7 linked regions of the Sus scrofa genome follow. The protein of the gene in region 1 purifies or fractionates together with the protein of each later gene. This does not show direct contact. Links are inferred from orthologs where the notes say so. Each region holds a gene or a part of one and is shown in the gene's direction. Other genes may lie near its edges.

What was found.
Region 2: the proteins of TOP1 (region 1) and EFTUD2 purify together in Homo sapiens (affinity purification with mass spectrometry; 3 studies listed by BioGRID and IntAct, with this or other methods). This does not show direct contact. The link is inferred for Sus scrofa from reciprocal best matches to the Homo sapiens genes TOP1 and EFTUD2.
Region 3: the proteins of TOP1 (region 1) and SUPT16H fractionate together in Homo sapiens (co-fractionation; 3 studies listed by BioGRID and IntAct, with this or other methods). This does not show direct contact. The link is inferred for Sus scrofa from reciprocal best matches to the Homo sapiens genes TOP1 and SUPT16H.
Region 4: the proteins of TOP1 (region 1) and CHD4 purify together in Homo sapiens (affinity purification with mass spectrometry; 3 studies listed by BioGRID and IntAct, with this or other methods). This does not show direct contact. The link is inferred for Sus scrofa from reciprocal best matches to the Homo sapiens genes TOP1 and CHD4.
Region 5: the proteins of TOP1 (region 1) and TOP2A purify together in Homo sapiens (co-immunoprecipitation; 4 studies listed by BioGRID and IntAct, with this or other methods). This does not show direct contact. The link is inferred for Sus scrofa from reciprocal best matches to the Homo sapiens genes TOP1 and TOP2A.
Region 6: the proteins of TOP1 (region 1) and HNRNPC purify together in Homo sapiens (affinity purification with mass spectrometry; 3 studies listed by BioGRID and IntAct, with this or other methods). This does not show direct contact. The link is inferred for Sus scrofa from reciprocal best matches to the Homo sapiens genes TOP1 and HNRNPC.
Region 7: the proteins of TOP1 (region 1) and PCNA purify together in Homo sapiens (affinity purification with western blotting; 3 studies listed by BioGRID and IntAct, with this or other methods). This does not show direct contact. The link is inferred for Sus scrofa from reciprocal best matches to the Homo sapiens genes TOP1 and PCNA.

The regions. Positions count from the first base shown.
Region 1 is NC_010459.5:43,769,211-43,773,136, forward strand, and holds part of TOP1 (DNA topoisomerase 1), read left to right. Parts: intron 1-358; coding exon 359-474; intron 475-3,926. UniProt on the Homo sapiens protein: Releases the supercoiling and torsional tension of DNA introduced during the DNA replication and transcription by transiently cleaving and rejoining one strand of the DNA duplex.
Region 2 is NC_010454.4:18,484,245-18,488,170, forward strand, and holds part of EFTUD2 (116 kDa U5 small nuclear ribonucleoprotein component), read left to right. Parts: intron 1-1,509; coding exon 1,510-1,675; intron 1,676-2,316; coding exon 2,317-2,395; intron 2,396-3,065; coding exon 3,066-3,141; intron 3,142-3,610; coding exon 3,611-3,676; intron 3,677-3,926. UniProt on the Homo sapiens protein: Required for pre-mRNA splicing as component of the spliceosome, including pre-catalytic, catalytic and post-catalytic spliceosomal complexes. Component of the U5 snRNP and the U4/U6-U5 tri-snRNP complex, a building block of the spliceosome.
Region 3 is NC_010449.5:77,794,633-77,798,558, forward strand, and holds part of SUPT16H (FACT complex subunit SPT16), read left to right. Parts: intron 1-146; coding exon 147-299; intron 300-841; coding exon 842-988; intron 989-1,379; coding exon 1,380-1,531; intron 1,532-2,275; coding exon 2,276-2,448; intron 2,449-3,387; coding exon 3,388-3,478; intron 3,479-3,926. UniProt on the Homo sapiens protein: Component of the FACT complex, a general chromatin factor that acts to reorganize nucleosomes. The FACT complex is involved in multiple processes that require DNA as a template such as mRNA elongation, DNA replication and DNA repair.
Region 4 is NC_010447.5:64,102,576-64,106,087, forward strand, and holds the end of CHD4 (chromodomain-helicase-DNA-binding protein 4), read left to right. Parts: intron 1-756; coding exon 757-952; intron 953-1,724; coding exon 1,725-1,888; intron 1,889-2,071; coding exon 2,072-2,089; 3' UTR 2,090-2,637; downstream 2,638-3,512. Other genes in the region: NOP2 (probable 28S rRNA (cytosine(4447)-C(5))-methyltransferase), read left to right, coding at 3,456-3,512. UniProt on the Homo sapiens protein: ATP-dependent chromatin-remodeling factor that binds and distorts nucleosomal DNA. Acts as a component of the histone deacetylase NuRD complex which participates in the remodeling of chromatin.
Region 5 is NC_010454.4:22,011,166-22,015,091, forward strand, and holds part of TOP2A (DNA topoisomerase 2-alpha), read left to right. Parts: intron 1-418; coding exon 419-511; intron 512-1,175; coding exon 1,176-1,290; intron 1,291-1,393; coding exon 1,394-1,515; intron 1,516-3,113; coding exon 3,114-3,262; intron 3,263-3,926. UniProt on the Homo sapiens protein: Key decatenating enzyme that alters DNA topology by binding to two double-stranded DNA molecules, generating a double-stranded break in one of the strands, passing the intact strand through the broken strand, and religating the broken strand.
Region 6 is NC_010449.5:77,919,723-77,924,154, forward strand, and holds the start of HNRNPC (heterogeneous nuclear ribonucleoproteins C1/C2), read left to right. Parts: upstream 1-1,422; 5' UTR 1,423-1,551; intron 1,552-2,155; exon of another isoform or gene 2,156-2,200; intron 2,201-4,432. UniProt on the Homo sapiens protein: Binds pre-mRNA and nucleates the assembly of 40S hnRNP particles. Interacts with poly-U tracts in the 3'-UTR or 5'-UTR of mRNA and modulates the stability and the level of translation of bound mRNA molecules. Single HNRNPC tetramers bind 230-240 nucleotides.
Region 7 is NC_010459.5:14,139,669-14,144,055, reverse strand, and holds the start of PCNA (proliferating cell nuclear antigen), read left to right. Parts: upstream 1-1,471; 5' UTR 1,472-1,512; coding exon 1,513-1,733; intron 1,734-2,629; coding exon 2,630-2,727; intron 2,728-2,886; coding exon 2,887-2,954; intron 2,955-3,687; coding exon 3,688-3,882; intron 3,883-4,387. UniProt on the Homo sapiens protein: Auxiliary protein of DNA polymerase delta and epsilon, is involved in the control of eukaryotic DNA replication by increasing the polymerase's processibility during elongation of the leading strand.

The DNA.
Region 1 (3,926 bases):
ATCAACCGTATAAATAATACCTCTGTCTTATGTACCATTGTGATAAAACAACTGTTTCTGTTTCCATATCCCCTATTTATTGCTGAGTAATGTTCTCATGTACTCAATATCTTTGAACTAAACTGTTGAATTATATTTTCCTCTGCTTACCTGAGTATTTCATCTTATTTGTTGTGAGTATTGGCTTTTTCAAAGTGAAGGATGTTGGTTATTTTGATCCAGGCCTTGAATGTGGGGCCCAGAGTCACTCCAGAGCAGTAGTCAGTTGAGCAGATAATTATTTTGACATTTAATGGGTAATGATCTCTGTATTAGGTGAAGTAATCACTAAATGAGATTGTGCTTTTGTTTTTTAAAGGTGGGAAGAAGAGCGCTATCCTGAAGGCATCAAGTGGAAATTCCTAGAACATAAAGGTCCTGTATTTGCTCCACCATATGAACCTCTTCCAGAGAGTGTCAAGTTTTACTATGATGGTGAGTTGTTCCAAGATTGTCAGATTCTTGGCCAAGGAAAGAGAATTCCTCTATTTAGGAATAGAAAGTGAGGAAAAATCTTGTGCTGTGTAATCTTTTTTGTTCACTTCATTTTGTTTTATTGTTGTCATTTGGTTTGGGGAAAGTCATCAGGTATTTACTTAACTCTTAAAGACCCATTTGGTGCAGAAAAAGTGCTCTGAGAAAGGGGTTATTAATGTCTTATTTACATGGTCTCAGAAGGGTCCATCTACATAGCACTTGGTCCACAAGCTAGATGTTTTTCTCTGAACTAACTTTCTTTCTTAATTGAAGTAAATTTACAGTGTTGTGTTAGTTTCAGGTGTACAGGAAGTGATTCAGTTTATATATATATATTCAGTTTATATATACATACACATATATATCTATATATATGTAGTTTTCCCTTATAGATTATTATAAAATATCAAGTATAGTACCCTGTGCTATACAATAGGTCTTTGTTGATGGAACTTCATTTCTAAGGAGCTACTCTTCATAAAAGTTACTAAAAAAGCCTTACTTGAATGGCAGTATTGTAATTTAGTGATATAATACAAGCGGACAAGATGCTCATCACTCAAAACAGTATTTCGTACTTGGTTGTGAATTAGTCTGCCATCAACCTCTAGGTAGGACTGGTAGATGTCTGTCACTCATTCTACATAGTACAACACTATGGCTTTGCCCTTTGTGCAGTCAAGTCTGACTAGCTGCTTTGAAGAACTAATCCTACCTAGTTCTCTTATAACCCTCAGAATTTTCTGTTTATTAACTATCATTGCTGTTTCTGTCCTTGGGTTGAAGATTTTTGAGAGTAGTCTTTGATGCTCCCTTATTAGGCAGATAGCAGCATGCAGATAGTAATACTCAACTGATTTCCTTCATTCCAAGAGTTTTCTCCAGAAATGGCTAAAGCATTATTCCTCAAACCCTTAGGTCCCCAGTGGATCTGGGCCCATTTAGTAGGTGTTGAGTGGTATTGGGTGCTTCTGAACTAAGGGGTCTGCTGACCAAAACTTTGAGAAACATTGAGCCAGGAGAACTGCTGAAAAACATCAGTAGGTGAACATTCAGAGCGTTTTGGTATATCTCTGTCCACGTAGCATTGGCCTCAGGCCATGGATGCTTATAAGTCAAGGGTAGTAGTTTATACTGAAAGTCTGGGTCTTGCAAATCAGGGATGTGTCGAACTTGTCAAGCTGGAATTTTTGTTTTTTTTAAACTATGTATTCACTATGACTGTGTTTACACACGAAGACCCAGCAGTGGACAATACTAACTAATAAATCCCTGTTCCCATGGAGTGTGCAGTCTAGCAGGACCTTATAGCCTCCATGACAAATGCTTGCATCATGTAAACATTCTGACTTGAGTTGATTGGAGAGCACAGGACAGAGTAGAGCTCTACTGTCAGCCCTCAGAGTGGGTAATTCCTGGAGACAGTAAAAATGTGACTCAAAGCCAAAACTCCAGTGGTGAGAAAGAACCTTAGCTAATCATAGAAAGAAATGTGGTATTCTGTAGCCCTAGTCTGGTAAAGACTAACTGTGGGATCCAAAGTTATTTGAAGGAAAGCTAGATTCCTTTCCTTAGCCTTTGGTTTCTCTTTATTTTCTGAGGTGGAAAGCCGAGACTTGAGCTACTCACCATGGTCCCTTCCCACATTCTTGCCCATCGTATGAGCTCCATTCTTGTTCCATTATATGAACTCTAGCTCTAGGGCTCTTGCATTTTTTTCATTTGATCTTTCTGGGGTTTCTTCCCTTTAATTAGGTAAACTAATTATTGACTGCAGTAAGTCAAGAAGTTGTATCTGACTTAGTCTAAGTTGATACTGTCAGTTCTGCCTCTTTTCTAGGGAAGAGAATCTTCAGACTCCTTAGTGCCTTTTAGGGAGATGTGGGGCACGAGCTGGCTGAAGCAGTGAATGGCCTCCAAGAACCTCCAATTTTCAGCTCTGACTCAGCAGTTTCTTCCTGGAATTCAGCCTTTTCCACAAAACACTGCCATTGCCGGGAACTTTCTAGTTATCCTCCTACCCTTCCACTGCTGGGAGCTGTCATTTCATCTTTGACAGCTCATCTTAAATGGGAGGCATCAAAAGTACTTTCTCTATTGGGATAGAATTCAGTAAAATTTCCTGAAGAGTCTCTCTCTCTCTCTTTTTTTTTTTTTTGGCTTTTCAGGACCACATTCACGGCATATGGAGGTTCCCAGGCTAGGGATCCAGTCAGAGCTACAGCTGCCGGCCTATGCCACAGGCACAGCAACATCAGATCTGAGCCGTGTTAGACTACGGCTCACAACCAACACGGGATCCTTAACCCACTGAGCAAGGCCAGGGATCGAACCCAAAACCTCATGGTTCCTAGTCAGAGTCGTTTCCACTGAGCCACGATGGGAACTCCTTTTTTAAAATATTGTTTATATTTAGTTTAACATACCCCAAAGTAGTTTGCATTCTTTCTTGCCTTTATGTATTTTATTCTTGGTGACTTAATGTTTTCCTTTATGTTAGAAGCATGTTACAACTTAACTGGCAACACCGATTCGGACTTGAGTGGGGTAATTCTGAAGAAGTGCAAGAAACTCTTTAAAGCCAGCCCTTCCTCCCCATGGTGTCCTTTTTGGAAGGAGCTGGAAGGTTGAGAGGGGAAGCAGCGCCACCTGTTGGCCTTTTAAAGTAATGCATTTCAAACAGGGTCTTTCTGTCTACCCTAAAACTTCAGTTTGAGTCTTTAGTTCCTGATATCCCTATAATTAGAGTGATAACTTTCCAGCCGTTCTTCTCAGTTTTGAAATGAATGCATTTCTGGTTAATTTTACTTTTATATAATAAATGTGAAATCTTTGGTGAATTAGTACCTGTGTAATAGTAAGACAGTGGAGAAACATGTACAATGCCAAGAAGCCCAGTCATCCCTTTGTTTTAGATGAGTCCCATTTCCCTGAAAGGGGCAACCTGATAAAGCCTGTGTTGCAGAGAGCATCTCAAACTCTGTGTACACGAGCTACCTGGGGGGGTCTCATTAAAATGCGCTTTCTGGGAGTTCTCCTGTAGTGCAGTGGGTTAAGGATCTGGTGTGTCACTGTAGTGGTTTGGGTCACTGCTATGGGATGGGTTCAATCCCTGGCCTGGGAACTTGCGCATGCCGTGGGCACGGCCAAAAAAAAAAAAGGCACTTTCTGGTTCAGTAGGTCTGGGGTGGGGCCTGAGATTTTGCATTTCTAATAAACCCCCATGTGATGTCAATACTGCTGGTCCATGAACCATACTTTGAGTAGCAGGGTTCTAGAGGAAGGTCTTATCTAGACTTTTCATATGGGATATCTGGCTTGCCTGCTATGAATATATACTTTTTATTCATATTCCACCCACCTAACTTTAAAGAAGAAAGATGCCTATTTCTTTTCCCCACAATTCCTTT
Region 2 (3,926 bases), on another chromosome or scaffold:
ATATATATATATATATAATTGATTTTAGTTTTTGCTTGACTGTTTTCTAATTACCTGTGTATTAGCAAAATGGAGGTTACGAAGTTATTTTTTAACAGTTTTATTGAAGTATAATTCATGCAGGAGTTTTCTTATGGCCCAGTGGGTTAAGGATCCAGCCTAGTCATTACAGTGGCTTGGGTCAGTGCTGTGCGGGTTTGACCCCTGGCCCAGGAACTTTCATATGCCATGGGCATGGCCAAAAGAAAAAAAATTCACATACCTCACAATTCACCCATTTCCTATGTATATTTCACTGGGTTTTTTTTTTTAGGGTATTCCTAGTCATGCATCCGTCATCATAATCAGTTGTAGAAATGTTTTCATCATCTGGGAAAGAAATCTCTTACCCTGTAACCATTGCCGCCCAGTTCTCTTACCCCGCTCCATCCCTAGGCAACACTAGTCTATTTTCTGTCTCTATAGATTTGCCTTTTCTGGACATTTCGTATAAACAGAATTGTAGAATATGAGCCATTTTGTGTTTGGTTTCTTTCTTTCTTTTTTTCCTTTTTTTCTTTGGCTACACCTGCAGCATATGGAAGTTCCCAGGTCAGGGATCGAACCCACACCACAGATGTACCCACAGCCACAGCAGGGACAGCACTGAATCTTTAACCCACTGAGCCACAAGAGAACTCCCTGTGTCTGGTTTCTTTTACTTAGCGTAATGTATCTTAGGTTCATGCATGTTGTACCAAGAATAAGTATTAAATTTCTTTTTATTACCAAATAATATTCCATTGTATGGATGTACCACATTTTATTTATCCATGCATCATTCCATCAACATTTCGGTTGTTTCTGCCTTTTAACTATTAAGAATAATGCTACTATGAATATTTATTTATGTTTTTGTGTGAACCTAAGTTTTTGTTTGTCTGGCCTAGATATCTGGGAGCAGGATTGCTGGGTCATGTGGTAACTTTGTATTTAACATCTTGAAGAATGAACAAACTGTTCCCAAAGCAGCTGCACTATTTTCCATTCCCATCAGCAGGGTATAAGGGCTCCAGGTTCTCCACATCCTTGCCAACACCTGTTATTTATCTGTCACAAAGGTATTTTTCAAAAACAATTCTGTGAGTCTAAGAGAAAATTTTAAAGGTATGGACGTGTTCCCAGTTTCTGCCTCTTATTTCTGCCCATGGAGGAAGTTATTTTTTCCCTTAAAAGAGTGTGTTGCAATAAGCCATTTGTTTTCTCCAATCTCCATCCACTTGTAACCAGTGGCCCACATTTTTGGAAGGGTTAGTTTGAATCAGGCGAGCCATCCACAGTCCTAGCCTAGTCTTCTCTTTGTGGAGCATCACACAGTAGAACCTGCCCCGCTGACTCTCTAGCACAGAACTCAAAATAAGAAGCTGTCAAGTGTGTGGAGCCATTGCTTTTAACTCGTGTAATGTTGGCCGGTCATTGAACAGGAAAAGTGCGCACCCCTTCCAACCGTCTTCGCTCTCTTGCTTTTAGATGGACGACGAGGACGACGATGACGATGTAGGAGATCATGATGAAGAGCACCCTGGGATGGAGGTGGTGCTGCATGAGGACAAGAAGTACTACCCCACAGCCGAGGAGGTGTACGGCCCCGAAGTGGAGACCATAGTTCAGGAGGAGGACACGCAGCCTCTCACCGGTGAGTCTGGAGGCGCTGGCTGGGGAGCGCTGAATCCGAAACCAGAAAACTGTCTTGAAAGCTCAGTGAATGAACTGATTAGTTTCTCTTTCAGGTACTATGTCTAGATTGAGATTCAATTAACCCCATTTTGATATTCAGTAAAACTCATAGCTTATTACTTAGCAAATAAGAGTTACAAAGAGAGAGAGCGTTCTTTCTTTTAATCTAATATCCGTTTAGGTGCTTGAAGACAGTCTTTAAGTTCTCTTCTGGTCTGATATCCAAACAATACCAACTCCTTTAACTAGTCTTCACAATGCTTATTTTCCACTTTACTAATTTTCACTGAGCTTCTGGAAAGTGGTTGCATTTTTAAATGCAAGGAGTGCTTTTGAACTGATATCGAGCTCATCCTCTATCTAGTCCCTCTCTCTTCCTCTCACAAAATAAAGTCCAAACACCTCACTCCACAGTTCAAGACCCTTCACTGTCTCGTGCCAAATAGCATTCCCAGGACTTTCTCAATCTCAGTGACCCATGAGAATAGCATAAATTGATGTCGCATATCGTATATTCTGAAAGCTCAGTCTGTTGGAATAGGGCTCTGTGTTTTTATGTTTTATGCCTACCTGCACATCACTACTTTTTTTTTCTCCTAGAACCCATTATTAAGCCAGTGAAAACCAAGAAATTCACTCTGATGGAGCAGACACTACCTGTCACAGTGTATGAAATGGAGTAAGTTATTAAGGTCTTGCAGCATCTCTGCACAAACAGTATGGGTTCATTTTTTTTGTGGAGGTAGGAGGTGGTTTGTGGTTGAAGTAGCCAGTGAATTATTGTGAAAGCAGAACTCTCTCCCTACAATTTGCCAGCATTTTCTTTCTTTCTTTCTTCCTTTTTTTTTTGTCTTTTACTAGGGCTGCACCCTCAGCATATGGAGGTTCCCAGGCTAGGGGTCTAATCGGAGCTACAGCTGCCGGCCTACACCACAGCCACAACCACGCCAGATTCGAGCCTCGTCTGCGACCTACACCATAGCTCATGGTAACACCAGATCCTTAGCCCACTGAGCGAGGCCAGGGATTGAACCTGCAGTCTCATGGTTCCTAGTCGGATTTGTTTCCACTGCGCCACAACAGGAACTCACCCTTACTTGCTTTTTAAATGTCATTATTTTCCTATTGAAAGCTCCATGACATTTCAAGATTATGTCACCTCACAAATGAGTCTGTTCCATTCCCAAAGCCTGAACTGTGTAGGGGTAGAAATTCATGTCTGCCTTGGAACATTCTCCAGTTGGGCTGAAAATTGTTCCTGGCCAAAAATACCTAGAACATCTCTGCACCGCTCCTTTGTTTGAAAACCGTTGCCAGAGTCCCTTTTCTCTCTTCCTTTCTCCTTTCAGTTTCTTGGCAGATCTGATGGATAACTCGGAGCTCATCAGAAACGTGACGCTCTGTGGCCATCTCCACCATGGCAAGGTGAGGGAACTTGGAACAGGGTTGCTCTTTGTTTCTGCTGAGTGTTTCAGCCTAAGAGTCACTAATTGGGGTCTGAGGCCATAAGGCTGGACCTCCTGACTCTGCAGGGCCTCCCTGGAGCCTATTGTGAAACCGAGCCGTGAAATCCCAGCTTTTCCTGAGCAGCAGATGGAAAGCTAAGCCACTTGCATGCCTGAGCCTTGTGTCTACATCTGGACAGCAGAGGGGAAATTGGGCCTTACTTTATTTTATAAGTTTTCATTTCCTGGAGGACGCTTGCCCAAGAAAGATTTCATCTTTCATTTGAAAATAATCCCGTGGCTTCTTTATTTCTTTGTTGTCCCATAATCTCCCCTGCTCTCCTCCTCCTCTCCTTATCCCTGAATTGTGTGGTGTATTGGTAACTGGGGGAGGGTGGAGTCGATTTTCCTCTGTGGCCAGCAGAACATAACTTTCTTTTCCCTTGCAGACGTGTTTTGTAGATTGTTTAATAGAGCAGACTCACCCGGAAATCAGAAAGCGCTATGACCAAGATGTAAGTAGAAATTCTGTGGAGGGTTTGGGATGAACCATTCAGAACACAGGGGGGTGTCTCTCCTTCTCCTTCCTTCTAACCTCCCACTCTCATTATAAGTAATGATGCCTATAATATGCTGCTTCATAATTGTAATTTCTATTAATAGCCCTTAAGAAAATAATTTCCATTTTCTCAGGAACATAGAGAATATTAACCTGCAGTATTTTTGGATGATCTGTTCTGCACTTGAGATCCCTCCTGTGTTCTG
Region 3 (3,926 bases), on another chromosome or scaffold:
ATGTCACAGTCTGCCCTAATGAAGTAGGTAGGAGAAGAGGTGGGCCGGGCGGAATTTATTCTGTCCATAGGATATTCTCTGCTTGGCACTAGTAGAACATGGATGTCTAATTCTAAAACGCTTTTTCTTCTCTGTGGCACTGATAGAATGAAAGTAATAAGAGCAGCTTTGACAAAATGATTGAAGCCATTAAAGAAAGCAAGAATGGCAAGAAGATTGGAGTGTTCAGCAAAGACAAATTCCCAGGAGAGTTCATGAAGAGCTGGAATGACTGCCTCAACAAAGAGGGCTTTGACAAAGTAAGAATACTCTTGGAAGCAAGCACATTGAGAGTGAGAGGATGGGCTTCCATATCAGAGTGCAGAGAATTTGTTATGGGAAAACTATATTAATTTACATTTCTATTCGTCATTCCCTTTGGCTGAGCAGTAAGCCAGTTTTACTATTTGATTAGGAATGAGGCATTCAGAATATAATTCAGCTGCTTCAGAGGGAAACAGAAAAATCTCTTGTCCAAAAAAATTTTTTTGCTTCTCTTCTCTCCTGTCGCTCTTCTTTCTTCAGCCTTTACGAAAACCTCAAGAGAGAGGCATTTACATTGACATTTTAAATGATACTTTAGTTTAATGCCTCTTAGGATACACACTGTGACCTGGTAAAGACCTCTTTGAGATGTTTTTTTCAGTCCAAGAAGAGACTATTTAGATGTTCTGCAAACTGCTGATGACTAGTTTGCTGGATAACCAGATATCATCTCTGATAATATTCAAATTGGGAGTGGGATGTTTCCTTAGCAATTCTGTGTCTGCACATCTGAAGCTCTTTGTCCCTTTGACTGCAGATAGACATCAGTGCAGTTGTGGCCTATACCATTGCTGTAAAGGAGGATGGAGAGCTCAACCTAATGAAGAAAGCAGCCAGCATCACTTCTGAGGTCTTCAACAAATTCTTCAAGGAAAGAGTAATGGAAATAGTCGATGCAGATGAGGTAAGTGGAGAGGAGGAAGTCTTTTTACTGTTTTAATGAAACAGTAGTAAGTCCCTACCTTGCAGTGTATTTTGGTGCGTGTTGAGCTTCCTTCCATATGCAGGTTGGTGGTGTGGTTGTGCCAGCTCTCTTTCACAATTACTATAAATTTGCACTGTAGTTTCTGGAGGTTACCTAGTATTTTATTTGAGAATTCCTTTAATAGCTGCGAATTCCACATTTTCTCTAAATTTGTTTTGCGTGTACACCAGTGTATTAGCTGTGGGTAAACCACTTCATAAGACTTTGTAGCATCCTATAAGATAATCAGGATATGTGTTGTCTTCAAATGATAATTTCCACCTCTGCCACACTCTAGTAAGTATTGTTTTATTTCTGGGTATACTTACAGAAAGTTCGACACAGCAAACTGGCTGAGTCTGTGGAAAAGGCCATTGAAGAGAAGAAATACCTAGCTGGGGCAGACCCTTCTACTGTGGAAATGTGTTACCCTCCTATCATTCAGAGTGGTGGCAACTATAATCTCAAGTTCAGTGTGGTGAGGTATGAGAATTTCCAAATATACCACCAGCCAGAGCATTTTAGCCTTCAGCCTGCTTTTTGTTGTACTCATTCTAGAATTCAGAAAAGTAGGAGAAAGAATAACTGTTGGCTAGCCTTTTACATTATCTTCTTGTCTTATTCTCCACGTATTTTTTTTTTGTTTCACACAGTTGTTCATTTCCTACTTGAGCATTTGATTGTAAGCTGATTCCAAATGATTAAAAATGCTAAGAAAAAATTCAGAACATGTTGGAAGAAGAACATTAAAATTATGTTAGGTATACCATGATGTAATTCCCCTTCTAATTAAAAAAAAAAAAAAAAAGTTGTAAAGAATGCTGTTTGTCCTGGTTGGTCTGAAGGGACTGATTGATTCACAGTGAATTGTAGTGGACTGCTGGGAAATGATACCTCACTGCCATCCTGTTCAGCTATAATGAATAAAATTCAGTATATCTTGCATATTTGGGATACAGCAACTTTTTACTAAATTTTTATCCTAAGAGTTTGGGTCACTAATTTTGCTCCAGAGTTGGTTTATTTTTAAAACTTTTTAGCTTTTTTTTTTTTTTTTAAGAACTTTTTAAAAACTGGTTCTTTTTAAAAAAAAAAAAGTAGGTTATTTTTCCTCTTCAGCTTTGGGACACTGCAGGGGGAAGATAGTGATTACTGACATTGTGTGTTAGTGATCCTTAGGACTTCACTAGTTGATGTAATGAAATGCTTTCTTCCTTTGGTCTGTAGTGACAAGAATCACATGCATTTTGGGGCCATTACCTGTGCCATGGGTATTCGTTTCAAATCTTACTGCTCCAACCTTGTCCGCACTTTGATGGTTGATCCTTCTCAGGAGGTTCAAGAAAATTACAACTTTTTGCTTCAGCTTCAAGAAGAGCTGCTAAAGGAATTAAGACATGGTGAGGTGCCTTAGAAAAGGTTTAGAAATCATGTAACACAAACGTCTGTAACGTTTATGGGAGTTGATATCCCTGAGGCTCTTGTACTATAAGTAGAATGAGATTTTACTATGAATCATCCTAGCATTTAGTTCTTCAGTCTACTTTTCTTTTATGCATGAGTGGTTATAATGAAGTTTACAAAAACCTCTCTGGTTAGGGCTCTGTGTCGAGATCTTCCTTATTACTCTTCTTATTTTTGGGAAGTAGTATCTCTGCCAACAGAGTGTGTAATGTTAATCCTGTATTGAGCGGATAGCATGAATCTAGTTTGAGAGCGGAACTAACAGCATCCCTGCTAAGCAAGTAGCTGCCTACCTCAGAAGCAAAATGCTTGACACATCTTTGCCTTGAGACTCTTCACTCCCAGTTGGCTAAATGGGACTTTGTGTTTATTACCTTTATTTATTTTTTAAAAACCAGATTATTTATTTATTTAACTTTTTTTTTTTTAAGGTCCGCACATGTGGCATATGGAAGTTCCCAGGCTAGGGGTCGAATTGGAGCTGCAGCTGTTGGCCTACACCACAGCCACAGCAACACCAGATCTTTAACCCACTGAGCAAGGCCAGGGCTCGAACCTGTATCCTCATGGACACGAGTCGAGTTCGTTTCCACTGCGCCACAACGAGAACTCCTTAAATTATTTCTGTCAAACCAATGTGGCTCTACAGTCCCACTGGGTCAGTGATTCTCAACTGGTGAAATTAAAGAGTGACCAGGTGGATTGCTTTTTTAAATGCAAATTTCAAAGCTCTGCCACTCCTGCCACTGTATTCCTTATTTTATCCTTTGAGAAAGCCTGCTTTAGGGGACTTAATAGGTGAAAAAAATCTTGATTAAAATATGTCTTTTTTTTTTCTGAAAGATAAAGTTCCCTTTCTTCTGTTTTGTCATTAGGTGTGAAGATATGTGATGTATATAATGCTGTCATGGATGTGGTGAAAAAGCAGAAGCCGGAGCTGCTGAACAAAATTACCAAGAACTTAGGGTAAGATGGTGTGATATATATACATTGTCACTCTGAGACAATTTTCATGACGGGAAGTAGTCAGGTAAAATATTCTTAGATGATTTAACCAATATTTATGGGCTATTAAACTAAACTGCATGCCAAACACAGTTTGTTATCAGAGAATATGAGAAATATTTTAGTCTTTTTGTGGGAGGGTTGAGGAAATTTTTTTTTTTTTTTTGCTGCACCTGTGTCATGAAAATTCCCAGGCCAGGGATTGAACCCATGTCACAGCAGGCACCCAACTGCTGCAGTGATAGCACCGGATCCTTAACCCGCTGCACCACAGAGAACTCTCAATAAATATTTAGGTTTTTCTCCCAAGGGTATGGTGGAGATTTTTCTGGGTCAATTTAGTTGATGCCAGTAGGTTTTCCAGGCTTAAGGTATAAATGTCAAGACATTACATGCTATATTTCCACTC
Region 4 (3,512 bases), on another chromosome or scaffold:
CCACAGCTCACGGCAAGGCCGGATCGTTAACCCACTGAGCAAGGGCAGGGACCGAACCCGCAACCTCATGGTTCCTAGTCGGATTCGTTCACCACTGCGCCACGACGGGAACTCCCGGATCTTTTTTTTATATACATTTTATTTTTTTTATTTTTTATTTTTTTGTCCTTTTGCTATTTCTTTGGGTCGCTCCCGCAGCACATGGAGGTTCCCAGGCCAGGGGTCCAATCGGAGCTGTAGCCGCCAGCCTACGCCAGAGCCCCAGCAACGCGGGATCCGAGCCGCGTCTGCAACCTACACCACAGCTCACAGCAACGCCGGATCATTAACCCACGGAGCAAGGGCAGGGACCAAACCCGCAACCTCATGGTTCCTAGTCGGATTCGTTAACCACCGCGCCACGACGGGAACTCCAAATACATAGGATCTTAATACATAAAAAAATAAATATAAGGAAACACATCAAATGTTAACTGTTTTTAGGAGGTAGAATTGTGATTTTGATGCTTTATACATTCTGTATTTTCTAAATTGAGTTTTTATCATTTTTGTGTAAAAGTGAATCAGTAAGATAACTTAAAAAACTTGGACCACCAAAGAGGGATAAAAAAGCCAATGTAATGTTGAATTGGTGTTGAACACCAGTTCAGGTGTGAGGGAGCCATTCCTAAGGTTCTTCACAGGTTCTCAGAGGCCCGTCAGAATTAAGCCAAGTGAATTATCATTCCAATGCCCATCTCTTTATCCCTTGTCCAGCTCTTAGAACAAGCCCTGGTGATTGAGGAACAGCTGCGTCGGGCAGCTTACCTGAACATGTCAGAGGACCCCTCCCACCCTTCCATGGCCCTGAACACCCGCTTTGCTGAGGTGGAGTGTTTGGCGGAGAGTCATCAGCACCTGTCCAAGGAGTCAATGGCAGGAAACAAGCCAGCCAATGCGGTCCTGCACAAAGGTAGCCAGTGGCTCCCCTGCCTCCTGCTGACTTAGCCTCCTTCTTTCTCTGTCCCTCCCCAACACATTTGGGGAGCTTTGCCTTCCTCCTCAGGAAGCTAATATCTCACAGGCAATCAAGGACAGTAGTTCTTTGCCTCTTAACTTCTTGAATATACTCAGCTTTTTGGAGAGGTGGAGAGCAACCCAGAATAATACATAGTGTTATCTGGGCTACTTTAGAGGTAACTTCAGGTTATTTACGATCTTGTGCTTTCTAGACCCCCTTTCAACATCCTGTTTCTAATTAAAGGTAAGACATTGTGAGGGGGTGGAGGGTGAAATGAGGAAAAGGCAGCTGTTATAAAGGAAGAGGGAGACAGCTCCAAAAGTGGAGAGGAAAGAAATAGGAATAGCTATTTAAGAAGTGGCGGAGTTCCCTGGTGGCCTAGTGGTTAAAGATTTGGTGTTGTCACTGCTGTGGCATGGTTCTCTCCCTGGCCTGGAAGCTTTTGCATGCTGCAGGCACAGTCAAGAAAAAATAAAAGTGATGGAGATAGAGACAGGGATCAAGAGACAGAGGTAACTTTAAAACATAGAATCATGGACACTTGGAATTGGAATATGAGGAATAGGAATTTGAGCGTGGTGGAGCCAGGTCAGGTGACTGACAAGACAGCACTCCAGCACGTCACTTGATCATTGAGAAGTGATGGGAAAGCCGGTCCACATATTATAAGATGGGCCTAGGTCTTGACCACCACGGCTCACCGCCTTTTTTCCCCCCCATGCAGTTCTGAAACAGCTAGAAGAACTGCTGAGTGACATGAAAGCCGATGTGACTCGACTCCCAGCTACTATTGCCCGAATTCCCCCAGTTGCTGTGAGGCTACAGATGTCCGAGCGTAACATTCTCAGCCGCCTGGCAAACCGGGCACCTGAACCGACTCCACAGCAGGTATAGGACCATTTTCCTCTGGCCATCTGTTCCAGCAGAGCCACTCTGGAACTTGTAACGTTGCTGTCTGTCCCTGGCTTTACACATTGGGCAGGTGGGGCTGGTCCACCAGTGAGTTCCTTTGGGGTCAGGAGGGTTCCTGGGGTCTGACATTCTGACCCTCTTGGCTCTCTCTTTCTCTAGGTAGCCCAGCAGCAGTGAAGATCCAGATGGATGATACCACGTCCACCGCTGAGCAGTGACCTTCCTCACTTTCCCTTGCCCAGCTTCTCCCCTGGGGGCCTGAGAGACCCTCTCCTCCCTTCTGCCCCATCTTCCAAGCTGTAGAGGAACAGCCCCCAGTGCACTGGGGGAGGGGAGGGAGTGAGGGGCAGTGGTGCCCTTCCTGCTGGAGAGACATGCAGCAGTAGCGCCGGCGCCATCTGCAGGGAGCTGGCGGGCTGGCCTTTTGGGCCCTGGCTTCTCCCCACTGTAACGTCTGTTACACACAAACTGTTGTGGGTTCCCGCCAGGCTTGAAGAAAATGATCTGAATTTCTTCCTCCTTTTGGTTTTATTTTGTTGGTTTATTTTGTGTTTTCATTTCTCCTTTTTGGGGGGTATTCACAGTGGGCCGGGCCCCTGGGCGAGACACAGCTACCTCTGTTGGCATCTTTTTAATACCAGGAACCCAGCGGCTCCAGCCCCTGAGCGGCTAGAATGAAATAAAGTTGGAAAAAAAAAAAAAAAAAAAAAGGAAAAGAACCAAAAGCATAAAAAACCACAGCAAATTTCTTGACAAAAATTGAAAATAAAAGTTTCCTTGTATTTTAGTGCTCTGGTTCAGTGTGGGTGTAGGTGCAGGTGGGTGTGTCCGACGGGAGCCTTGGGACAGTGCAGCTGAAGACCAAGGGTTTCCTTGTGTCCTGAGACTCCACGAAATCTGGACTGTGCACCTACCCTCGTGCTCCGGCCGCCACCACCTGCACGCTGCGAGGAGCTCCGGAGCCCCCTGGGTTCACAGCCTAAGCCTGACTCCCAGCTTCGCGGCCGTCTCCAGGCTGTAGATGTCTGCTGTAGAGAATCAAAGGAGAATCTTCCTCGCAACATTGCGAAGACAAACCAGCGAAGTGCCGGAGCAGTTTTGAACAGCTGCTAAGCACCACCTTAGGGTTTATTTCAAGAAAGGCTGCTCTGGGTTTTCTGTTTGTGTGAAGTGAGAACACAAGATGCCGTCCTCCCGACCTCTCGTATGGGAACCAAGGCAGAGAGTTCCCTTACCTGAGGGGCAGCGCGGGGTATGGTGTCAAGGAAGAAGGTTTCAAAGTCACAGGACTTGGGAGTGGGTGCGACCTTGAGACGTGGGGCGAAAGAGGGTCCGGCTCTGACGCCTCCGTCCGAAGGGAGGGGCCGTCTTTTGGGTACCAGTTTTTCGGACGAAATCCGCCATAAGGCGTAAGGCCCACATCTGGAGGGAAGGGCGGGGAAGCTAAAGGCGTCCCCCTACGCGCCGCCTTCTCCACCTGGGAGAGAGCAGAGCGGTCCTCCCCGGCCGCCCTCTGCACCGCCTGCCCCGCGCGGCCGCGCGAATGAAACTTCCGGCTTCCGCGGCGGACGGGAAGCCCGGAAGAGGCGGGGCCTCAGCG
Region 5 (3,926 bases), on another chromosome or scaffold:
AATCCCTGGTCTTGCTCAGTGGGTTAAGGATCCCCACTGAGGTTGCAGGTTCAATCCCTGGCCTTGCTCAGTGGGTTAAGGATCTGGCGTTGCTGTGAGCTGTGGTGTAGGCTGCAGATGCGGCTTGGATCTGGCATTGCTATGGCTGTGGCGTAGGCTAGCAGCTGTAGCTCCGATTAGACCCCTAGCCTAGGAACCTTCATATGCTGCGAGTGCAGCCCTAAAAAGACAGAAAAGCCAAAAAAAAATATATATATATAGAGAGAGAGAGTAGAATGTTTTCAGTAATCATATTCCAGAGAAAGGAGGCATATATTTTAGAAAACTGAGATTTTGTTGTTTATTAGTTAATTTCTTATAGAAGAAATAACTTGGAACCTGTCTACCAGTGACATCTTTTTCATCTTCTAATTTGCAGGCCTTTAGCAAAAAACAGATAGATGATCGAAAGGAATGGTTAACGCATTTCATGGAAGATAGACGGCAACGAAAGTTACTTGGCCTTCCTGAGGTACAAAAAAATTTTTTAATATAGCCCACGAAATGTACTATTTATTGACCTTTTAGAATTGACAGAGCAAATTAAAATTAATAGTTATTTCACTAGAAATGTTAATAATAGATAACTGTATATCCTTATTTAGACACCTGCATAAATGTGTTAAACCTGAAAGAAACTAGAAAGTTAATGCATTTTTTTTCTAATTGTGCAGCAGTTAAATTCGCTTTGTCTTTAAAACATATAAAATACTTTTCATAAATCTTTATTTTTGAGGGATTTAAGAATTATCATGGAGAGAGTTCCCATTGTGGCTCAGTGGAAATGAATCTAACTAGCATCCATGAGGATGCAAGTTCGATCCCTGGCCTTGCTCAGTGGGTTAAGGATCCAGTGTTGCCATGGGCTGTGGTGTGAGTCACAGATGTGGCTCGGATCTGGCATTGCTGCGGCTGTGGTGTAGGCCAGCAGCTCTGATTCAACCCCTAGCCTGGGAACCTCCATATGCTGCGGCTGCAGCCCTAAAAAGACAAAAAGACCAAAAAAAGAAAATTTTTTTTTCATGGAAATAACAGTGCTAAGGAATGCCTTTGTTTTATTTTTGTCTTAATCGTTGTTATGACCAGTGATATTTTTTATTTTTAACTAGATCATGTAACACTCTTTGGTTTCTCAGGATTACTTGTATGGGCAAACTACCACATATCTGACATACAATGACTTCATAAACAAGGAACTTATCCTGTTCTCAAATTCTGATAATGAGAGATCTATCCCATCCATGGTGGATGGTGAGTTTCAATTTATTGGTCTATTTTTATTATAACATGGAAATCAATGCCCAGAAATGGTTAAATTGAGGATATTAATATTTACACTTCTTTCGTTTTGAAGGTTTGAAACCGGGACAGAGAAAAGTTTTGTTTACATGTTTCAAACGAAATGACAAGCGAGAAGTGAAGGTGGCCCAGTTAGCTGGGTCAGTAGCTGAGATGTCCTCTTATCATCATGGTGAGGTAAATACATAATCCATAATGTTTCCAGAAAGCATTATAGCAGAAATACCTGCAAAGTCAGTCTCCAAACAGTTGGTGAAAATATAAGCTGGTATATCCATAGTGGAGAGCAATTTGGTGAAAACTATCAAACTGTAAAATGTGCTTATTTTTTGACCTTACAAATCTATTTATAAAAATAATATAAGGATACTATAATCAAAAGACATGCAAGGATCTATATTCAAAAGTGTTTAATAATGTTTGCTGTAACTTTGTTATGCCACAATTTAGACATGAAAAATGTCCATCAATTGGAACATTACTATAAATTGTGACACATCTATACATGGGATCAGATTTACTTAAGTAAATCTATGTGTGCTAACACTGAAGAATGTCCACGTTCTATTGTCAGGTGAGGGAATAAAGGAGGCAGAATAATACTTGAAGGATGTGCTCCAAATTGTTAACTTTGGTTATCCCTAGGAATTGGAAAGGGCAACTTTCCAGTTTTTCATATATGTCTGAATTGATTTTGTACAAACATACATATTGGTTTTGTTTTTGTTTGTTTGTTTACTTGCTTTTCCAGGGCCGTGCCTGTGGCACACGGAAGTCTGTGGGTTAGGGGTCGACTCAGAGCTGCAGCTGCCGGCCTGCACCACAGCTCACAGTAGCGCCGGAGACTTAACCCACTGGGCAAAGCCAAAGATCAAACCCACATTCTCACGGATACTAGTGGTGTTTGTTACCACTGAACCACAATGGGAACTCCTACATATTCATTTTTTAATTTTGTGATTGAAGTTGCTTTTTTTGCATTGATGTAAAACAATTTTAAAGAATTAGGTTGCCTGTAAGTTTCTAGAACTTTAAAGGTAATGATTGCCTTGCTTGTTGCTTTCAATCAAAATATAGCAGCTAGGAGTTCCTGCTATGGCACAATGGTATTGGTGGTGTCTTGGGACACAGGTTCGGTCCCCAGCCTAGCACAGTGGGTTAAGGAATCCAGCATTGCCACAGCTGCGACTTAGGTTGCAAGTGTGGCTTGAATCTGATCCCTGGCCCAGGAACTCTATATGCCGTGGGGTAGCTAAAAAAGAAAAAAATTAAAAATATATACATGGGCTACTCAGTAAATGTTCACACAGTAAACATTTGTTGAATGCTTACCATCTACCAAGTGTACAAAGATAAATCATATGTTTGCTACCTTTAAGGAGTTAAAATCACAGTTTAACCATATGACTATCTCTTTCTCTCTCTCTCTCTCTCACACATACAAAATGGTAGAATAGAGTGATACATGCTAGAATAGAAATGAGCAAAATGTTTTAACACAAAGAAGGAAATATTTCATTCTGCTGAGGGTGAAGAGAAGAGCTATGCCTTTAAGGTTGAGTCAGATGATAAAAACCATGTAAGGCAAGAGCCCAGAGCTTGGAGACAGAAGTCTTGGGTTTAGATACTACTTCTGTTATGTTTTCATATGTAAAAAGCCAATAAAGATCTACATTTCATAAAATCTTACAGGAGTATAGTGAGGCATAGTCATAATCAGACAGTTATTATTAAAAGCCTACAGATAAGATTAATGAATCTTTTTTCCCCCCCAGATGTCACTTATGATGACCATTATCAATTTGGCTCAGAATTTTGTGGGTAGCAATAATCTGAACCTCTTACAGCCCATTGGTCAGTTTGGTACCAGGTTGCATGGTGGCAAGGATTCTGCTAGTCCTCGATACATCTTCACAATGCTCAGGTGGGTATGCTTCCAATTTTCAGTGAATTGCCATTTCCAATTTTGAAGTATTATGACATTTAGTTGACCAAAAATTTTTAAATTCAGTTAATCAGAAAATATGTCTTTGTTGCAGATGCTCGGATATTAATTTTTTTTTGTCTTTTTTTGGTCTTTTTTTTGCTATTTCTTGGGCCGCTCCCACGGCATATGGAGGTTCCCAGGCTAGGGGTCGAGTCGGAGCTGTAGCTGCTGGCCTACGCCAGAGCCACAGCAACGCGGGATCCGAGCCGCGTCTGCAACCTACACCACAGCTCACGGCAACGCCGGATCGTTAACCCACTGAGCAAGCACAGGGACCAAACCCGCAACCTCATGGTTCCTAGTTGGATTCGTTAACCACTGCGCCATGACAGGAACTCCCGGATATTAATTTTTTTAAATGAATTTATTAAAGTTTAATATGCTACTCTTTTCAATGAGCAGAAAGTCAAAATTCCATTTCAGTTTGATAGCTTGAACTTTGTGTCTCTTAGAAGTATTGTTTCCTTGGCAGATTATAAATAGCTTTTTTTGTTTGCTTTGTTTTTTGGTTTTGGTTTGTAGTTTTTTTGTTCTGTGATTTTTTGGTGGGTTTGTTGTTGTTGTTGTGGGCCATACCCGCAGCATGCAGAAGTTCCCAGGC
Region 6 (4,432 bases), on another chromosome or scaffold:
ATCCCCAAATGCCATACTTTTAGGCTCTGTACTTATTTCCTGGTTCCCTAATCTTACTAAATAAGGTCAGATACACAACCCCAGCTGATCATACCGATTACCTTGCTGCTTCTAATGCTGTATAAAACGTACTCTTGCCCCAACTCCCTGGGGAAGTGTGCTCCACTGCTTGTGAGTCACTGTACTCTTCCAACCATGGACTGCTCTCCCTAAGTAAATGACATTCAACTTGTTACTAAATGGCCTTTTTTTTTTTTTTTTCCATTTGATAGGTAACAAGTAATTTCCTTGTGAATCTCTCTGGAATTCAGACATAATTCAAAATTAATGCATAAAACTGTATTCACATATACATATATTCCATAAGATGTATACAGATGGTATCACATTATCTAGATAGTATTCTGCATCTTGCTTTCTCTAACTGTACAGAGAAATATCCTTCATTCCTAGCATAGCTGGACCTATCCCACTGTGTGCATGGCTGCTATAATATAACCAGCGGGACTGGCAGGCGATGCCTGGAGCCAGAAGGTGGGAGACTAGCTATTTCAGATGAGGGGAAGAAGGGAGCAGATTTGGGGGACGAGCAGGGGGTAGGATTAGATGGGCAAGCCAATTCTGGTTGGCATGTAGGGTATTCGTGAAATGATTTGGGGCCAGAGGATGGGTGCTGTAATACTTCAGGCCAACATTTTAGACTTTCTTTACCTTTTGCAGTGGAGAGGAATAAGGAAGTCAGCTGTTTTGGGTGAGATACAGGTTGTCTAAAGAAGGGCTTGACAGGTTAAGTGTTGTCCAAATGGGAGCTCTAAGGTTGGAGTTTTGCAGGATTGGTTACTTTTCTAGTCCTTGGTGCTCCCTCCCAATTCTAAGAAAAGTGTTTTCTTTATCCACACAGCAGTATAGAGGATTCATTCGGAGATTCCTGCTTCCCTTTACCTAGGCCCGGAGCTAGGGCACATCCTTTGAGCCGCTACCAAACAAAATCCCGCAATCCTTCCCCGCCCCCGCGCCGCCGGAATTCCGAGATCCCGGCGGGCCTTCTACCAGGTTCTCTAAGGAGCAGTGATAGGATCCCGTAGCCGCCAATCACAACCTCCCGGATACCCGGATATGAAGTGGTGCGCGGTACAAAGGCAGGTTTCCACCTACCGCTTCGTCAGTTACAGTGGCCAATAAGCATTTCTCAGGTGATAAATGACAGGAAAAATAACCAGTTACAAACTAATTTCGCTCACGCATGTGGAAATTCTCTTGCTTAGTCTAACCCACCACTGATTGTGATTGGACAGAATTGTGAAGAGCGGTAGAACTGTCTAATTAGAAGCGGGAGCGAGAAAAAGCTCAGCCAATAGGAAGAGTCCTAGAAGTGGGGCGGGGACTAGGCCTTCGCCTCGGCGGCAGAGGAGACTCGGGGGCCATTTTGTGAAGAGGCGAAGACTGAGCGGTTGCGGCGGTGTTGCCGACCTCGAGCAGCAGTCCGCTTCTCCACGTAGAACCCGGGAGTAGGAGATTCAGAATCGAATCTCTTCTCCCTCCCCCCTCCTGGTAAGTGGAGGGGGTGGAAGCAGGGGAGTCGCTGGGTTCCTTGGGGAGCGCGAGGGGGTGTGGGAGAAGACGGGGGAACCCTCCTCTCGGTAGAGTAAGCAGGCCCCCGTTTATTCTATTTGCACGGGGGGATTAGATCTTATGCAAGAGAGTTTTATAGGCCTCAGCCCTTGCGTGGATTTTTAACCTAATGTCCTCTAGGCCAGGATCGGCAGGGAGAATGTCCTTTTTCTTCTTCTCGCTCTCCTGTGTTAACGGCTGCTGTCCTTTCATTTTCTATGACCATGAGGTCTCTAAGAGAGATCATGAAAGGGAAGATCGAAATGCTCATTAGTATAGTCCTGTAAATTTAAAAATTGAGCGGGGGATGGGAAGGGTTATCAAGCAGATATTTATTGTACCGCAAGCCTCTAAATTCTGGAGCGTACCACAGGGTATAGTAATAAATATAACAATAGGTTTAATATTTTACCGGTTAGTTTTTGTTTCACTCCTCCCTGAGCAAATGATGGACTTCGACGTAGTTATTTTCAATTCTATTTTTTAAATTGTAATCTCATTTACATATTAACAGTAATAATGAAAGCTGGCTTTTTATCTACAGGTTACAAATCACTTGAAATATATAAGTTAGTGGAGCTTGCTTGAGGTAGGTATTACTGTCTTTCTCAGATAGAAACCGCAGCATGAGAGTGTGGATTGCCAGGGTCGTATTAAATCAGTAGCAGGAGTAGTAAGGAATTTGGCCACTAGGTTAAATTAAATGGCTTTTCCTACCTCTTGATGTGGTAGATACTAACATACTGTATTTGAATCTTTACAAGAACGTAATTACAGCAACCACTAGCGGTAATTGGAAATTCCCAAACTGCCCTTGGGAAAAATATTAAATTATGAGAATTACATATACTATTGTTGTAACTTCCTAAGACAATAAAGTTTGACTTTCAGGGTATTCTGGCATGCATTTTACAGATCATCCAAACGTTGACCAAAAAAAATGCGTGCCTGTATGCTTTTTATTAAGTAGGTATTATAGTGCTTATTATTTGCTAGGTTCTGAAGCATTCAAGTTTTTTCCTAAACTTGCAAAAATTATGTGGGTTTTTTAGTAGTATCACATTCGCATATCAGATCCTTTTTTTAATTCTTGTGTAAGATTTAGGTGATTTTATTTTTCATAACGTGTTGCTTTCACAAAAGCTAGTATTAGCACAGTTTAAACCAGTGCTGCAGAATAAATTCATCCCTTAGGAAACATACTTCATAGGCGCTGAAAGTATTCTTATTTTACATAGCTATGTACTTGTTCCCTCACCATGTAGATAACTGTTCTAATTGTAGTAAGAATCAAAAACGTTGCTTGGGAGTTCCCGTCGTGGCGCAGTGGTTAACGAATCCGACTAGGAACCATGAGGTTGCGGGTTCGGTCCTGCCTTGCTCAGTGGGTTAACGATCTGGCGTTGCGTGAGCTGTGGTGTAGGTTGCAGACACGGCTCGGATCCGCGTTGCTGTGGCTCTGGCGTAGGCGGTGGCTGCAGCTCCGATTCGACCCTAGCCTGGAACCTCCATATGCGCGGAGCGGCCAAAGAATAGCCAAAAAAAAAAAAAAAAAAAAAAAAAAAAAAAAAAAAAAAAAAAAAAAAAACGTTGCTTGCTTTTTTTTTTTTTTTGGATAAAGCCTGAATATTTATACTATTACATGGACTTAAAACTAAAATTAAGTGCAGAACTGCCAGAAGTGACATAAGGGGAGTTCGCTGGTGGCTCAGTGGGATAAAGATAAGTCACTGCTGTGGTGTAGGTTCAATACCTGGCCTAGGAACTTCCACATGCCTCAGTTGAGGCCAAAAAAAAAAAGCAGTGATTAGTTAATTTAGGGAATTATATACCTCAAAAATATTATTGGCAAATAGAAATGTAAGAAATAAGTTTTTAGGAATAATTATTCATAGGAATTGGAATTGAAGGACACTTCTTGCCTTGAGGTGTTAGAAATAACGGGTTCATTAAGATCAGCATGTACCAAGGTAACAGTTCCTTTGAGTTAATGTCTATCCGGGATGATTTGGCCACAGAATTAGTATCTAAAACAGTTGTAGATTTGATTTCAAGTAGGTAGGCATTAGTAACATTTTCATGTTGGCTGAAGAAGATTTAAGAAGGAAGATGCAATTGACCTTTTTGTGTTTCCCAGTGCTTATGCCACAGGAAAACTTGATGGTATTTGCTATTCCTTTGGTAGAGAATTTAAACACACCTTTTCCGTGATTATGTCTCCAGAGGGTTTTACATGGTGTGGGACCTTGTTATTATGAATGGAACTGCTGTTAGAAACAAGAAACTCCAAGGTAGCTAGTTATTCTAATACTAAAGATTAATCTTTTAACTGTGAGGCTTTAACTGGGGAGTGTTAGCAGTAGAAAGATCCTTGGCTTAGGAGGAGTTAAGAGAACTGGATATTTCCCCCTCCCCCCATTATTACCTCTCAGGCAAATCAGTTAAACTTTCTGGAATTCAGTTTTACACTTATGAGGGAGCTTAGATTTCTTACATGTTTTAATTTTGTTGCCAGAAAGCTAAAACATGTACAGAAATAGTTTTAATGTTGAAAGCAGTTTTGTTTTTGGCTATACCCTCAGCATTCCTGGGCCAGGGATTGAACCTGAGCCACAGTTGTAATGTCAGATCCTTAACCCCATGCACCACACAGGAACTTCTGAAAGCAGTTTTTGTGTATTAGTAGTTACTATTAACTACCTTAGTAACAGTATTTCAGTCTTCAAATAATTTTATTATTGTCTTTGGGGGATGTTACGTGCTCAAATTTAATGTGTACTCATTCTCATTGGGATCAGAGAAGCTTAAGGTTTTGTACACA
Region 7 (4,387 bases), about 30 Mb from region 1:
ATATGCTCTTTGATCCAGCAATACTACCTCAAAGACTTGCCCGAATTACAAGAAATTGGTAAATCTTTTTTTAAAGAGATGATGATGTAGAAAAGAAGTACGTGGCATAAAATTAAACATACTTTGTTAAGTATTTTGCATAAGTGTTTACAGTATAAACCGTTTTTTTGTTTTTTGTTTTCAGGGCCGCGCCCGAGGCATAGGGAAGTTCCCAGGCTGCGGGTAGAATACGAGCTACAGCTGCTGGCCTATGCCACAGCAACTCCAGATCCAAGCCGCGTCTGTGACCTACACCACAGCTCACGGCAACGCCTGATCCTTAACTCACTGAGCAAGGCCAGGGATCGAGCCGCAACCTCAGGGTTCCTAATCGGATTGTTTCCACTGCGCTACTAGGGGAACTCCCTGAATTTTGTTTTTATTTAATTATTTATTTATTTTTGTCTTTTCTAGGGCAGCTCCCGCGGCACATGGAGGTTCCCAGGCTAGGGGTCCAATCGGAGCTGTAGCCACCAGCCTACTACTCCAGAGCCACAGCAACTCAGAATCTCAGCCGCATCTGCAACCTATACCACAGCTCACAGCAACGCCGGATCCTTAACCCGCTGAGCAAGGCCAGGGTTCGAACCCGCAACCTCATGGTTCCTAGTCGGATTCGTTAACCACTGCGCCACGACGGGAACTCCTGAATTTTGTTTTTAAAAGTACATTTGTACAAAAAAAAAAGCTTAGAAAGTTGTATGCAGTAAACGATAGTTTGGTGTGTGTGTGGTGGGGGAGGCGATGGCAGTGGGGAGCCACGATAACTGTTTTCTTTTAATCATAACTGTACATCTCTTTATTGTTCACTTTTAGGAACGCTTCTATAATTGCTACTCTATAATAGCAGGGGGAAAAAAGTGCATATTTAAAGTAGCTATACTCTTTAGGCGCATGGTGGCTCTTCCTCCTAGAAGGCTGGATTTCCGTTTCACCTTCACTTTCAAGGCTGTAAATGTCCCATCCCTCAAGCGGGAAATTGATGAGGCACCACAAAGCCACCTCAACGACCCCCCCCCAAGCCTAGGCCTGACCTTCACACTTGCCCCGACTTGTCTAACGTCCGGGCGCCGGAACACGACAAAAAGGCGGGGAGCCCCGCAGGATGCCTATCAGCAGGCCCTCGTTAGGCGCAAGATTCCTGCCCCGCCCCTACGCCCACACTCTCCAATGGATGTTCGGGGTGGGACGGGCTTCATGTGGAGCAGGGACACGATTGGCTCCGCAGCCTCTCCGCCCAGGCAGTGGGCGGGGCAGCGTGGTGACGTAGCCATGAAGGGCGTGGGGGCGTAGCGCGCGCTCGCAGACGCGGCTGTATTAAACCGCTGCAGGCGCGGCCGGCTGGCAGTGTGCGTCCTCCGGTTCAGGCTCTGTTGTGGTGTTTTCCTGCTCTCTCTCAACTTCTGAAGCCTAAGCCGGCTACTCCTTCCTTCTTTCTTCCACCTGTAGCCGCGTCGTTGTGATTCCACCACCATGTTCGAGGCGCGCCTGGTCCAGGGCTCTATCCTGAAGAAGGTGCTGGAAGCGCTTAAAGACCTCATCAACGAGGCCTGCTGGGACATCAGCTCCAGCGGCGTGAACCTGCAGAGCATGGACTCGTCTCATGTCTCTTTGGTGCAGCTCACCCTGCGCTCCGAGGGCTTCGACACGTACCGCTGCGACCGCAATTTGGCCATGGGCGTGAACCTCACCAGGTGAGTCCCGAAGCCGCAGACTGTCGGGCCCGCGGACACCCCTACCTCCGCTCTTGGCGGGAGCGCCCATAAGGCGGGCCCTTATTGGCTGGCGTGGGATATCTGCACCTTTCTTATTGGCCTGTGGCGCGGGGCGGGGGGGCGGGACCAGTAGCAGAGCGCGCGGTTCGGAAAGCCCGCGCTGACTGCAGCGCGAACCGGCTGTTTCCGCGCCAAAGTCACAAAGCAAGTGGTGGCGGGAAAACGACGGGCTTCTTCGCGGTGCCAGGAAAAGATTGTTGCGGAGCCCTTGGTTATTAATTGCAGGCGCCTTTAGATGAGCCGCTTTATAATTTGCCCTACTTCTGTCGCCGTGATATGGACAATAGCTTACTTTTTTACCGCAAAGTTGCAGTGAACATCCTAAGATCCTGGATTTGAGGAAAAATTTCTCCAGGAAGGACAGTGGTTTTAAACTTTTTGATCACTACCTTTCCTAGTACATACACATGTTTAAGTTTTAAAGCTTGTGAAAAGTGTTTACCCGTGCTACACTCAATATAATAGACTGGTGCTTCAGTGGGTACATTAAAATCTAAGATCGTCGCGGCCCAATAATTTACTTCACCCACCAAAGGGATTTGTACTTTCTAAAATACTGGTCTTTTTTTTAATATCCCGAAGCGAAATTGCACATTGTGGGGTGTGGGCTTTTTCGTATAAGTATAAATACTGGCAGATTGCATTCCAAAACGGCTGGACTCTCTTACATCTTCCTGCAGTACGTTTCCCAAACTCGCCAATTCGACACGTGGTCCAGTGGTTAAAAGTGGTAACTCATGGTTTTAATTGAGTTAGAAAGCTAACGATCTTGAGAAGATGGTGTCGATTTTAAACTCTTGTCTCCTGTGTTCCAGCATGTCCAAAATACTAAAATGTGCTGGCAATGAAGACATCATTACGCTAAGGGCAGAAGATAATGCAGACACCTTGGCACTAGTGTTTGAAGCTCCAAGTAAGTTACACCCTTCTGAGTTAATGCTAGAGGAGATTAGAATGCAGTGTCTTTATTTCCCAAAGCTGAGAGAAATTTAAGATAGTTTGTGGTAATTGTAAAATTTATCACAATTATAAACCTACATGTTTTTCTTCATCGTTTGCTTTCTTTTGGTAGATCAGGAAAAGGTTTCAGACTATGAAATGAAGTTAATGGATTTAGATGTTGAGCAACTTGGAATTCCAGTGAGTATCAAAGTTTCTGATTGAGCATACTACATACAGTCATGATAGTTACATAAAATATATTAATATAATAAAGCCTACTTCCTAAAAGAGCTTTTTCTGTATATCTGCTCATGTATGTTCCAAATCCGAGTATTTAGACTGATATAAATGATGGTATTCTGCAATGGCTCATTGTTTTGAATTGATTGCTGCCACATGCATATTTGCATTAACCTAATTGACTCTCTTCTTTTTATTCCTACAATGCTTAATTTTTTATTGAGTACATTTTAAAGCTACTTTAGCAGAAATTCATTATGCTTTGGTTTATCAACATTAAATGAGAGAAGAGGGTTTGGATGTTTAATATGCCTAGTAATTGTATTTTCTTGTTTTGTTTTTCAAAAAAATGACGGCCTGTTAGCACCGTCATTGTGTGTGTGCTATACCCTAATGTTCTCTTGATTTAACCCTGTAGATCATTTAAGGGGAGGCTCTTGTTCCCTGGACAGTGCATTTACTATAAAAGTTCAAGTTCTTATTTGTTTCCTTTGATTATTTTATAACATTCTTGTTCTATAACTGTGTTTACGTTTTGAGTGGTTAGAGTATGTTAAGAAATTACACAAAGTGATATTTCAAAATAATTAGAAAACCTTAAATTCTCTTGTTTAAATGCTGAGTCTTCAGACAGTAAGGGTGCCAAATCTTTCATTTCCATTCATTGAACTTAAGTTTCCTTGTTTCATAGGAACAAGAGTACAGCTGTGTAGTAAAGATGCCTTCTGGTGAATTTGCACGTATATGCCGAGATCTCAGTCACATTGGAGATGCTGTTGTAATTTCCTGTGCAAAAGATGGAGTGAAATTTTCTGCAAGTGGAGAACTCGGAAATGGAAATATTAAGTTGTCACAAACGAGTAATGTTGATAAAGAGGAGGAAGCAGTAAGTAATTTCTAAGTAAACACAGTACTTTGAAAAGTAACTTTATGCTGCTGTAACAAGATTCCATAGACTAAGTGGCTTATAAACAACAAAAATTTATTTCTTACAGTTATGGAGACTAGGAAACTGGCAGATTTTGGTTTCTGAACCGCTTCTTGGTTCACAGATAGCAGCCTTCTGTGAAAAGGGGCAAGAGAGAGCTTTGTGGTCATTTGTAAGGATATTCACGAAGGCTCTGCCTGCTTAACCCTAAGTATCTCCCAAAGGCCCCACCTCAAACAGCATTACATTCATTACATTGGGGATTTGGTTTTAATGTGAATTTGGCAGGGGAAGGGGGGATGGGATGGGACATGACCGTCTGTGGCAAGGTAATTGCTAAAATTAAAGAAAACTCTAAAGAAAAATAGTCAAAATTTGCATTTCCAAGTAACTAATTTGTGAGAACTTGAAAGACTTGATGTCTTAAGGTGGTTTATAAATGCCATCTAAATTGTGAGAAGGC